Linked DNA regions of Danio rerio. The main gene of each other region encodes a partner of the protein of the gene in region 3 in a complex. Links are inferred from orthologs where the notes say so. Each region holds a gene or a part of one and is shown on either strand. Other genes may lie near its edges.

Region 1 (3,758 bases), on a different chromosome or scaffold from region 3:
TTGAAATAATACATGTATATATTTTATGTTTGAGTGAAACTAAACTATTCAAAATAGCATTGTCGCTCGTGATTAGACAGTTTCATGCCAGTTTTTCCCTTAATAAACGATTACCATTTATTTAATTAAATAATTATATTTTAAATTAGTTAAATATAAAAACTAAAAGAAATATAAATGTAATTGTTTAAAATTATGAATATGCTTTGATATCTGTGCAACTAACAAAAGACAATTTATGAGTTATCTGTTTATGCATAAAATAAACAAAAAAAATAATTAAAATTAAGCTTTAACTATTATATTACGAGTTACATCAAAAATTCTTCGATTTTTATTTATTATAACCTAATAATATAATTTATTAATGTAACCTTTATTATAATGTTATTATAACCTTATTCATTATGTAATTTATAAATGTAACCTTTTGCATTATTATTAGGCAAAACGTTACCTTTAGGTAAAAGATTTTAAAATTATGCAATTCAATGCATATATACTGTAAACCTAATTTATTATTATTATTTTTTTAGCAGTATAAGTAAAACAAAACACTAAATTTAATGATGAATTAATGATAAAATGTAATGTCAAACTGCTTTGTATATTGTTTACATTGTAAAAAGGGCTAAAGAATTAAAGATAAACTAAATTAACTGAAATGTACTTCATAATTTTTTCTTTATTTTTCAAGAAACCCTTAGTGTTACTGTATATTTTAGTTCTTTTTTTTAAATTCCTTCTACAGTGCGGAGCACCAATTGGCCACAAATTGTCATAATGTTGGCCCGCAAAGGTCTTTTGCCTGATGGGTTCTTGTTAACGCGACTCGCTGAAGATGCACAACCCAGCCGCATCCGGCCAAAGTCACAAAGGGCACGTTTTATCACCAAGAGCGGCTCATGTAATGTAGCCCACAAGAATATTCGAGAACAGGTGAGATTTTCCTATCAGTTCTAGGCTAAAGAAAAGTTTCAATTGACTCAGTTGCAGTGTTCATAAGAGATTATTGCTTCTCAGGGTCGGTTTCTCCAAGATGTGTTCACCACCATGGTGGACCTGAAATGGCAGCATTCTTTGCTCATCTTCACCTCAGCGTTCCTCTGCTCCTGGATGCTCTTTGCCATGGTGTGGTGGCTCCTGGCATTCGCTCATGGAGATCTAGAACCTCGAGATCCCAATGAACCCGGACCTGTGCCGTGCGTCACATCCATTCACTCCTTCACTTCTGCTTTTCTGTTCTCCATTGAAGTGCAGGTAAGGATCAATCTGGATAGATATGACTCTGTTTCCATCTAGAATTATTATGACATGCATTTTCAGTAATCTAAATATTTTAGACTCCGCATACATTTTTATTTAATGTCATCCACTTGTGATTGGACTGACTGAAACGTAATACTAGTTGTCAAAACTGAGGGAGAATAAACAATGTAATATTTTTGGTAAACTATACCTTAACAGCGCTGAACAGGATGTGAAGTAGAAGTTGACGTCAATCTTCTGTGGAGGCGGGGCTTATCCACTCTATTACATCATAGAGTAGAACATTCAAGAATCTGTTATCTTCAGACTGCCTTCAATATAATCTGTATTTAGAGGAACCACAAAGTGTTCAGTTCTAAAACTTACAGGATATTTTTAGAGAACTATGAGCTCTTATATGTAAAAAAAAAAAAATTAGGTGATTTTTAGGTTTCACAGTTCATGACCCCTTTAAATCGTCTGTAAGATAATGAAGCATTTGTAATACCAGGTAACTATTGGTTTCGGAGGACGAATGGTGACAGAGGAGTGTCCGCTGGCCATCATAGTCCTCATCATCCAGAACATTCTGGGCCTGATCATCAACGCCATCATGCTTGGCTGTGTGTTCATGAAGACAGCTCAAGCCAACCGCAGAGCAGAAACCCTCATCTTCTCCCGCAACGCAGTCATTGCCCCAAGGAATGGCAGACCGACATTGATGTTTCGTGTTGGAGATCTGAGAAAAAGCATGATCATCTCTGCCAACATACAGCTGCAGGTGACAGATGTGTTTATTTCTTTACTGATGTATTTAAATCATTGAAGAACCTTAACATCCACAGAACCTTCTATTAGAGAGTTCTTCATTTTAGTCCTTTAGATCAGTGTTTCTCAACCACGTTTCTTTGAGGACCACACGCTTTGCACATTTTCCATGTCTCCTTAACCAAACACACCTGATTCAGACCGTCAGCTCATTAGCAGAGACTGAAAGACCTGTAATTGGTTTGACGGACAAAGGAGACATCCAAAACATGCAGTGTTGGTGGTCCTCCAGGAACGTGGTTGAGAAACACTGCTATAGATCTTTAATATGTCCTTCAAACTAAGGTTATTTAATCATTATTTTATCACCAGGTTCAGACAACATAAAAGCAAGGCATTTGATGTCAAAATGATGGCAGATATGTAGCTTTAAAGATAGTATAAATTCTGCCTTAAAGGGACAGTTCACCTTAAAATTAAAATTCTGCCATTACTTGGCAGAATGGAAATCTATTCAGGCATCTTGAATGCAAGAATTTAGAAATTCGACATGGAGAGTGATTTTCATACACATTGATTATCATAACAAACACAAATTATGTGAAGTGTGAGCCAAAAATGCTTTATATATCATGTCTGTACCAGATATTCTTGAGTTTGATTCCATCCTGATCTTGATATTTGCTCCTCAGGTTATTCGGCGGACAGTGACAGCGGAGGGCGAAGTGATTCCCGTCTGTCAGTTAGATATCCAGGTGGAAAACCCTCTCAGGAGCAACGGCATATTCCTCGTCTCTCCACTCATTATCAGTCACACCATTGACAGAGGGAGTCCACTGTACGAGCTCTCAGCGCAGTCAATGGCTACCGAAGATCTGGAGATCATTGTCATTTTAGAAGGTGAATAGAGTCTACTTTCCAGTACTGGGTTGTGGCTAGAAGAGCATCTGCTGCATAAATCATATGGTGGAATAGTTGGCGGTTTATTTCCCTGTGGTGACCCTTGATAAATAAGAGACTAAGCCGAAGGAGAATGAATGTTTGATTGAATAGAGTCTGCTTAATGTAATTGTTTTGTTTAAAAGCCAAAGTATTTTTAAGGGATTATCATAGATAAGCTCTCTAATATGTGACCCTAGAGTACAAAACCAATCATAAGTGTCAATTTTGGGAAATTGAGATTTATACATGATCTGAAAGCTGAATAAATACATTTGTCATTGATGCTGAGATGCAACTATTTCAAAATCTGGAATCCGAGGGTTTAAAAATATCTAAATATTGGGAAAGCTGCCTTTAAAGTTGTCTAAATTAAGTTATTAACAAAGCAGGCCTGTAGCCAGGGGAGGGTTTCAGGTGGTTCAGAAGACCCACCCCTCATTGACAAAGGCCCATAACTACTATGTCATAATAAGTTGTGAAAATAATCCATGGAAAAAGGCTTTAACACCATGTGGAATCCTGTGTTGGTTGTTGCGTCAGCATGACTGAGGAAAGTTGAATGTGCGGGACGGTTTGCTTTTTATGTTAATGATATTTAAATAACAATAGGCTAAAGTTTTTAATTTAAAACTTTAACAAATTCCTATTTTTTCTAATGATGCAATTGATGTATATGATGTAAATGATAATTGATGTAAACCTTAACATCAAAAATGTGGTTATGATGACCATCAAACAAGCTAATCCAGCAAAAAAATAGTGCTTAAAATGTTACAAAAATGCAACTTATTTTAACCTCA
Region 2 (3,698 bases), on a different chromosome or scaffold from region 3:
CAATCACTGAATATATATATATATATTTTAAAGAACAATATTAAAATGCTTGGACCACCTCAAGTTTGTAAAGAAATATGTGCAAATACGTTGCTTAATGTACCTAAACATCAACCAGAGAACCCCAAATTTCTGTCAAATTGTACTTGTAATAAACCCTAATGACTGTAAAAGAACGAGCCCCAATTCCCTAGATCAGTGGTTCTTAGACTTTTTTCACCAAGTACCACCTCAATTAAAAATTCTTCCCAAGTACCACCATAATGACCAGTATTGAAATACAGTAGTGTAGTAGGCCTAATTAAGCAGCTACAGCACTGCACAATTCAAAAGCGTGGCAGATTAATTCTGATTATTATTATGAATATTTGTTATTTTCAGCCATATTAAACATCATAAGTAGTTTGAACATTAACACTGTGCTGTTGAACTGTGCGTTCAAAAGCTAATCAAAAACGGCACTGTTTTTAAAAAGTAAAGAGAAAACTGCTGTACCTAAATGTAAAGTATTATCATAAAGTATCCTAAATTTTGAAATATATGATGCATGTATATATGACTTTGTAAATCTTTGAAATCTAAATGTTAACTTGTATTTTAGATATATGAATTGGATTTGCATATTTAAATAAAAAATGAGTTTGCCCACTGCACGTTAGAGTAGGTTATGTGTGTCAGTAAAGCAAGTGATTAAACTATACCTGTGAACATTGGGATATAAAAATATGGGATAAGCCCCTACAACTGTTACAAATATGGAGAGGAAATTAGCTTTAAATGATAGAATACATAACAAACATTAGAAAATTGAAAATAAAATGAAAGGTTTATCCTATTAAAATCAATTTACTGATCACATCGGCGTTATCGTACGCGTCAAAGGGTTAAAAGTGTGCTCATTTTTACTTTAATTATTCAGCGATTCCTCCGTGTACCACTAGAAGGAAGCCTGCATACACGTACCACAGTTTGAGAACTACTGCCCTAGATAAAGTGTAAAACATCACATTACGCGTTTTTCTGTAGTCTATTGTAAGGAAAAAGCTTAATGTAGCTTAATGTACCTTAACAACAAGGTACATCTAATTAAAATCTAATTTCTAAAATAAAATCTAATTTCTATCAAATTTTACTTGTGATTAACACTTTCTGATGTCAAAAAAATGAGCTCTAATTTTAGTAAGTGAAAAGGATCACGTTATGCGTTTTTCAAATCCATTATAAAAGGAAAGAGCTTAACATGGCTTAACGTACCTCAACAAGAGCACACCAAAAATCTATGAAATTTCACTTGTAATTATCTTTAACTACTAGCAAAAGATCAAGTCCTGATTCTGTGGATGAAGTTAATTGATCAATGTGACATTAAAACGTTTTATCCCCATTGAAATCCATTATAAGACCTTAATGAGGTTTAACTTAATAACATTGAGACAATCAAATGTATATAAAAATATACTCATAAACACTTTCTTCTGTTAAAAGAACAAACTTTTATTTTAGTATACTGTATCAAGTGAACAATATCACTAAACGTTCTCTCTGTAAAAGTCCATTATAAGGAAACAGCTTAACCTGGCTTAACGTACCTTAACACTGACCAGGAAAACCCAAATTTGTCAAACTTTACTAGTGATTAACACTAACTATTGTCTAAAGAACAGGCCCTAATTCCATAGATAAAGTGAACAATATCACGTTAAGTGTTTTCCTCCCATCGAAGTCCATAATAAGAAAAGGTTGAACGTGACTTTACAACAACAACCAAGAGAAACTAAATGTTACCCACTTGTTGTTAAGGTACATTAGCCATGTTAAGCTTTTTCCTTATAATAGACTTCAGAAAAATGGTTATTGTGATGTCTTACATTTTATCTAGGGAATTGGGACTCATTGATTTTACAGTCATTAGGGTTAATTACAAGTAAAGCTCGACAGAAATGTGGGTTTCTCTGGTTGATGTTCAAGTACATTAAGCCACGTTAAACGTTTTAGAATGTCCCTCTGCAAATATTGAGGTAAAGTTTGTTTTATATTCACACATTTGAGACTTTAGTCTTCCAAATATAACTTCAGAAAAGTATTTTTGAAAATTCTTAATAGGGAAATTATATTATAGCCAATGACTATCAATGTACAGCGTCGTTCACAGTCAATAAATGTGCTAATGTCGTTTTGAATCATAATCCCATGCCTCACAGCCATTATTGAAAGTAGACAGTCACAATTTGCCACTGGTCAAAAACTAACGAATGTGCAAATATAAAACCAACTTTACCTCACTTCTGCAAATTAGGGATAGAGATGACATCGTCTTTTCCAAATATGCAGACTGCATTTTTACTGCAGACACAAAGCAGTGTATATGGCAATTTGTTTAGACTCAGTCTTTCTTACTGAGCCAGCAATTTGTAATCCTCGCACCCAGTTTATGAACGTGTCCTAGACTCCCGTGGATTAAAAAAACTATAGCCACACACTTTCAAAGCGTTTGTTAATGGTTGATATTTTAGCATTTTTTTCTGAACAGCAGCCTAATTCCATAATCTCGATACTTCATCCACAGCTACAATATCAGGAGTGTTTGGAAAATCTCTAATGACAGTACTCAAAATAAGTTAATGACTATTCACTGATGAAAGCAGTTCATTCGCACAGTCTTGTTAACGTATAATACAGTATAAAGAGTTTATTCACCTCCCTGGCTCTTCTGCACCCGTTCTGGCATCAACTTCACTTCGTCATACAGAGATTTATACATCTCATGCAGCTTTTCAAACTCCTCTGAAGACATAGTGGAACAAACGAAGTCTAAAGCAAATAAACAAAATAAATGACAACAGAATAAAAGAGCGAAAATTTGAAGTCTGTTGTGGTACGAAACAATAGGGAAAAATCAGCTTCTCGGGCAATAACAAAATCCTCGGGACTGCAGCTCACGCTTCCGTGTTGGACCTCGTGATGATAGGCGGTCTTGATTTTGCCTGCAAACAAGAATGCAGATTAAAATCTTAAAGGCTGTTTTAAAATTTTAAACATCTAAAACAGCTCTATATTAATATGTGTATGCTTAATTAAAATTTTAATGCACTTCATTTTTGAAAAATGATACAAAAGTAGACTTCAATTAAACGTAGCAAATATGTAGACAGCTCGCATCATAAATACAGTGTGGGAGTTGTAGTTCATATTTTTAGGAAAACCCAAATTAATCTGTTTCGTAAATATAATCGTCGAACAATTAAAGTTTAGCTGACATAATAAATATTACCTACATATTTGCTATTCATTTACATAAATGACTTAATAGTACTATAATTCACTCTATAATATTTGATACGCTGTACGATAAAAACTATTCAGTTTCAATTTCACTTTAAATTATATTCATTTTGTTGTTTTCTATTTGTTGTTGCATACTGCAAACTTTCTCACACAAACACGCGAAGGAAAAAATACATTATTACTACATATCAATAATTAAAATAAGGCCCAACACATGTCAATAAAACAGCATGTAGTTTATTGCAAATATAATATTTAATAATAAAATATTTACAATCATTTTCAGCAACAAATTAATGACCATTCAGGAAACATTTTTGTGCAGGTGCAGACAATGAAAACTACAATCCCATCATTCCCCGGGAGCACAGCTGTAGATGTGAGTGGGAGGCTGCTGAACACATTCGGACGGA
Region 3 (3,758 bases):
TCAAAAAAAAAGCTTCATTTATAAAATTTTATTTATCAGTCTCACTTTTTAATTTCTTTTGGATCTGGCTGGCCATCCCTTTGATGTCTTCTCTGAGTGACTGCAGTTCCTTTTTCATACCTGTGCTCAAAGAAAAATATAATTTACTCATTCACTCACTATCCTTTAACTTACTCTCTTCATAATTATTAATTAATACACACACACAACATAAGATTATGTAAATGAATAATAAAAAACCCAAGTGAAAGCTAAATTACTTACTGTCCTCTGGAAGTGCAACTCCTAGCACTGTTTTCTGCTTGTTCTCCAATTCGGAAACCTTTCTCTTAAGAGTTTCAAGTCCCTCTCGAATCTCCTGAACCTACATAGAAAAAAGAAAATATATTTTTATGTCAAGTTTCAATGCAAACTTTCCAAGCACAAATGTTATGGAATTCAAGTGACCCAAATGTAATTTATGTGTAATGTTTGACATTACATGAAGTTTGCACAAACACTAAACAGCTTCATTCCTTTATTACTGTTTGCATGTGCATGTTCCTAATCTACGGTGGTGGAGAGAGAGCTCAAATGTACTGTAAGCTAAGATATGCATATAGAAAAACCAAACTAAGAAAATGTGTTCATTCGTTTGACAATATGTGTAAGCAAATTCTCACAACACATGCACATATGCAAAGAGCACATGACAGAAATGTGTCAGGGAACCCCAAAAGAGACAAACCCAGCTACTTCCTGTTTAGAGCCTGTCAGGGTTGCTGTCTGATGGTTATTTTAATGTCCTGGTCGTAAGGTTCCTTGTTGTTTGTACATTTTTTGCATTAATAATTGATAAAAAATGCTTTTTTATTGGTGTTTTTTGTTGGTGCAGTACATTTGAGCGCTCTCAGCCACCGTACTAATCAGTATTTGTGAGAAACCTGCAGTGTAGAAAATCACAGTTCAGAATTGCAGGATTTCTAAATTATATTATACAAGAACCAACAATACACACTTCAGTTCAAAAATCATTAATTACAGAAACAACATGCTACTTCTGTACAGATCCCTAAAACTAGTGCATAAAAGTATTGAAAGTTGCAGTTAAAATGAGAGCAATCGTGCTACAATGACCTTTTTAAAGAAAGCTTCATTTTCTTTGTCTTCATTTGCTGAGGTTCCAGATCCAGGCTTTATCATTAGAGCTACGGTTTCTTCATCTTCATCTGAGGCATCAGCAGTCTAGTAAAAGAGTACACAATACGACACTGAATATAGTTAAGAATATTGTTATTAATAAATTTTTATATTGTATGTTATCATATTTTAAAAATATTACCACCATACAAAGTGCAAGACAGTGTTTCTGCAGCTTAGATAAAGGTAAATAAGGTTAGCAAAATATCTATTTTAAATAATACCTCAAAGTTTAAAAAAAAGTAAACAGATCTGTTATTTCTAAACTTACAAAAAAAAGTCAAAACTGAATAGCCATTAAAAATGTTACTCTTCTCATCACATTACAAAAAACATCTTCCACTATATTCGTCGTTTTGCAAATGTGTGAAAGTCTTAAATCAAGATATATTTTACATTTACTTGACATGTTTTATGAAAAATATATATTTGAATTTAATTAATTTAGGATTACACAAAAAGTAGCTTTAAGGAAAAACACGTTAACATGACAGATAGTGTGTTTTATTGTGTGTGAATTTATTAACATTATAGTTTTTTTGCTTTTACAGGAAAACGAAGTAAAAACCATATACAGGAGATTCATATTTTTCAGTATGTGCAACATTTAGTGTAAAAACTTTGTGAAATTAACCCTTTGTGACTCTCTTTGGGACATTTAAAGGTATTTGTTTGTCGAAAGGCAAATGTAGTCCCACAGAAGAAACTGCAACAACACAATTACGTGAAAAAACAAACGGATGATAATAAACCTTTATTGCCGAGCGAATGACAGTGTATTAATAATAATACAACTAAAAGTTAAGTACCAATTCAACGCTTAACTTTCTTGTGAGAAAAACTAAAATCAATATTCAAATGCAACCATTCATGGCAGCTGTATTTATTTGTAGGCTAAATAAAGTTACACCCCGTTTACCCAAGAGCGCTGGTGCTGCAAGAGGGTGTTAGCCTACCGTTCGTGGACTTTAACCATATATTTTTCCAACACAAGAAAATAAGCCACACAACTATAGATTGTGACTCGTTACAATCCTTGAAGGAGTTAATAAATCGCAGTCGAGCCAGTGGTGACAGTAGTTACATCCGCTGAATAACATTAGCCCGTTAGCCAGTTAGCCGGTTTCCTGCGTGCACTGCCCTGAAATTACTCACATTGCCCAGTTCTTTGGTCCGGTCCCGCATTTTCGATGTATTTTATGGCCAGCTCAGATGAAATGTTCCCGTTTTTAAGAGGTGTAGCTCATCTGTCTCCTGACCATAAACTTGCAAAACTCACAACAGATAAGAGGGAGTTTCCATTGAAAGTCACATTTCACGCCAGCCAACTTCCACAAATAACTTTCAGAGCAGAATATTGATGGACGCTGAGAGATGCTGTGTATATCTATGCTATATGGATAAACTCTGGTTATGTTTAGAGATCAGTGTGGGGCGATGTCGCTGTATATGACTTTACCGTTTTCTTCTTCTCTATCAGTTTGCGGATGTCTGACAAATCCGTCAAGGCTCTTACTGCCCCCTACTGAGCGACACGACTGAGGCTATTTAAGGAAGCCAATTTCCGCCAGAGAATAACAGTTTTTATCTTTTCCCGCTTTTTGTTTCAGATTTCTGAGATTTAAAATCAAAATTTCGAGTTATAAAGTCAGAATTCTCAGACATAAAGTCACAACTGTGTGATATAAAGACATAATTTTCACATATAAGTCATAAAGTCAGAACTCTAAGTTACAATTCAGAGATTAAGTTACAATTTAGAGTTATGAAGTCAGAATTCTAGGATAAAGTCACAATTCAGAGATATAAAATGTCACAATTCTGAGTAAATAAATAAAGCAAGAATTTTGAGATATACTTCACAATTACAGGTTTTGTCAGAAATCTGAAATATAAAGTTGCAATTGTGCGATATAAAGACAGCATTCTGAGATATATGTCACAATTATATAAAGCTATTACATAAGAGTTATAAAGCCAGCTATAATTAGCATTGCCGGCAGCTAGCCCTCTGCAACTCTCATGGTTGAGCAGGGCTGCGCCAGGTCAGTTCCTGGATGGGATACCACATGGGAAAGCAACTGTAGGTTATTGCCACAAGTGTGTTAGGGAGACCAGCTCAACCTGCTGTCTGTATGTCTCCTAACACGCCGGTACATTAATATACTGTCAGTGAGTCCTGTCTTTCAGATGAGATGTTAAACCTGACTCTCTGTGGTCGTTAAAAATCCCAGGATGTCCTTTGAAAAAAAAGAGCAGGGGTTAACCTCGGCATCCTGGCCAAAGCTGCCTACTAGCCTCTGTCCATCATGGCATCATAACTCTATCTCCACTCCACCAATCAGCTGGTGTGTATTCTGGTGCAATATGGCTGCCGTCATTCTGGTGGATGCTGCACAATGGTGGTGGATGAGGAGATTCCCCCACCCCCCAAAAAATGTGTAAAGTGCTTTGAGTGTCCAGAAAAGTGCTATATAAAGTTAAGGAATTATTATTAAAATTCTGAATGCAATAACTACTTCAAAAAAATTACTCAGTGGCGAAAACGGGCTTACATATCCACATGGGTGCATCACTCA

Evidence for each region. Proteins that work in one complex are often made in the same cells at the same time.
Region 1: stx4 (region 3) and bet1l share a complex: the UniProt entries of both Homo sapiens proteins name them as parts of the SNARE complex. The link is inferred for Danio rerio from reciprocal best matches to the Homo sapiens genes STX4 and BET1L.
Region 2: stx4 (region 3) and vti1b share a complex: the UniProt entries of both Homo sapiens proteins name them as parts of the SNARE complex. The link is inferred for Danio rerio from reciprocal best matches to the Homo sapiens genes STX4 and VTI1B.

Annotation. Positions count from the first base shown.
Region 1 is NC_133200.1:8,372,551-8,376,308, forward strand, and holds the start of bet1l (BET1-like protein), read right to left. Parts: upstream 2,709-3,758; 5' UTR 2,659-2,708; intron 2,030-2,658; coding exon of another isoform or gene 1,760-2,029; 5' UTR 1,757-1,759; intron 1,593-1,756; exon of another isoform or gene 1,531-1,592; 5' UTR 1,460-1,530; intron 1,299-1,459; 5' UTR 1,261-1,298; coding exon of another isoform or gene 1,024-1,260; intron 940-1,023; coding exon of another isoform or gene 784-939; exon of another isoform or gene 752-783; intron 1-751. Other genes in the region: kcnj11l (potassium inwardly rectifying channel subfamily J member 11, like), read left to right, coding at 784-939, 1,024-1,260, 1,760-2,029, 2,709-2,916. UniProt on the Homo sapiens protein: Vesicle SNARE required for targeting and fusion of retrograde transport vesicles with the Golgi complex. Required for the integrity of the Golgi complex.
Region 2 is NC_133188.1:36,491,256-36,494,953, forward strand, and holds the start of vti1b (vesicle transport through interaction with t-SNAREs homolog 1B), read right to left. Parts: upstream 2,929-3,698; 5' UTR 2,795-2,928; coding exon 2,698-2,794; intron 1-2,697. UniProt on the Homo sapiens protein: V-SNARE that mediates vesicle transport pathways through interactions with t-SNAREs on the target membrane. These interactions are proposed to mediate aspects of the specificity of vesicle trafficking and to promote fusion of the lipid bilayers.
Region 3 is NC_133187.1:22,374,233-22,377,990, reverse strand, and holds the start of stx4 (syntaxin-4), read right to left. Parts: upstream 2,519-3,758; 5' UTR 2,365-2,518; coding exon 2,335-2,364; intron 1,225-2,334; coding exon 1,117-1,224; intron 365-1,116; coding exon 265-364; intron 121-264; coding exon 46-120; intron 1-45. UniProt on the Homo sapiens protein: Plasma membrane t-SNARE that mediates docking of transport vesicles. Necessary for the translocation of SLC2A4 from intracellular vesicles to the plasma membrane.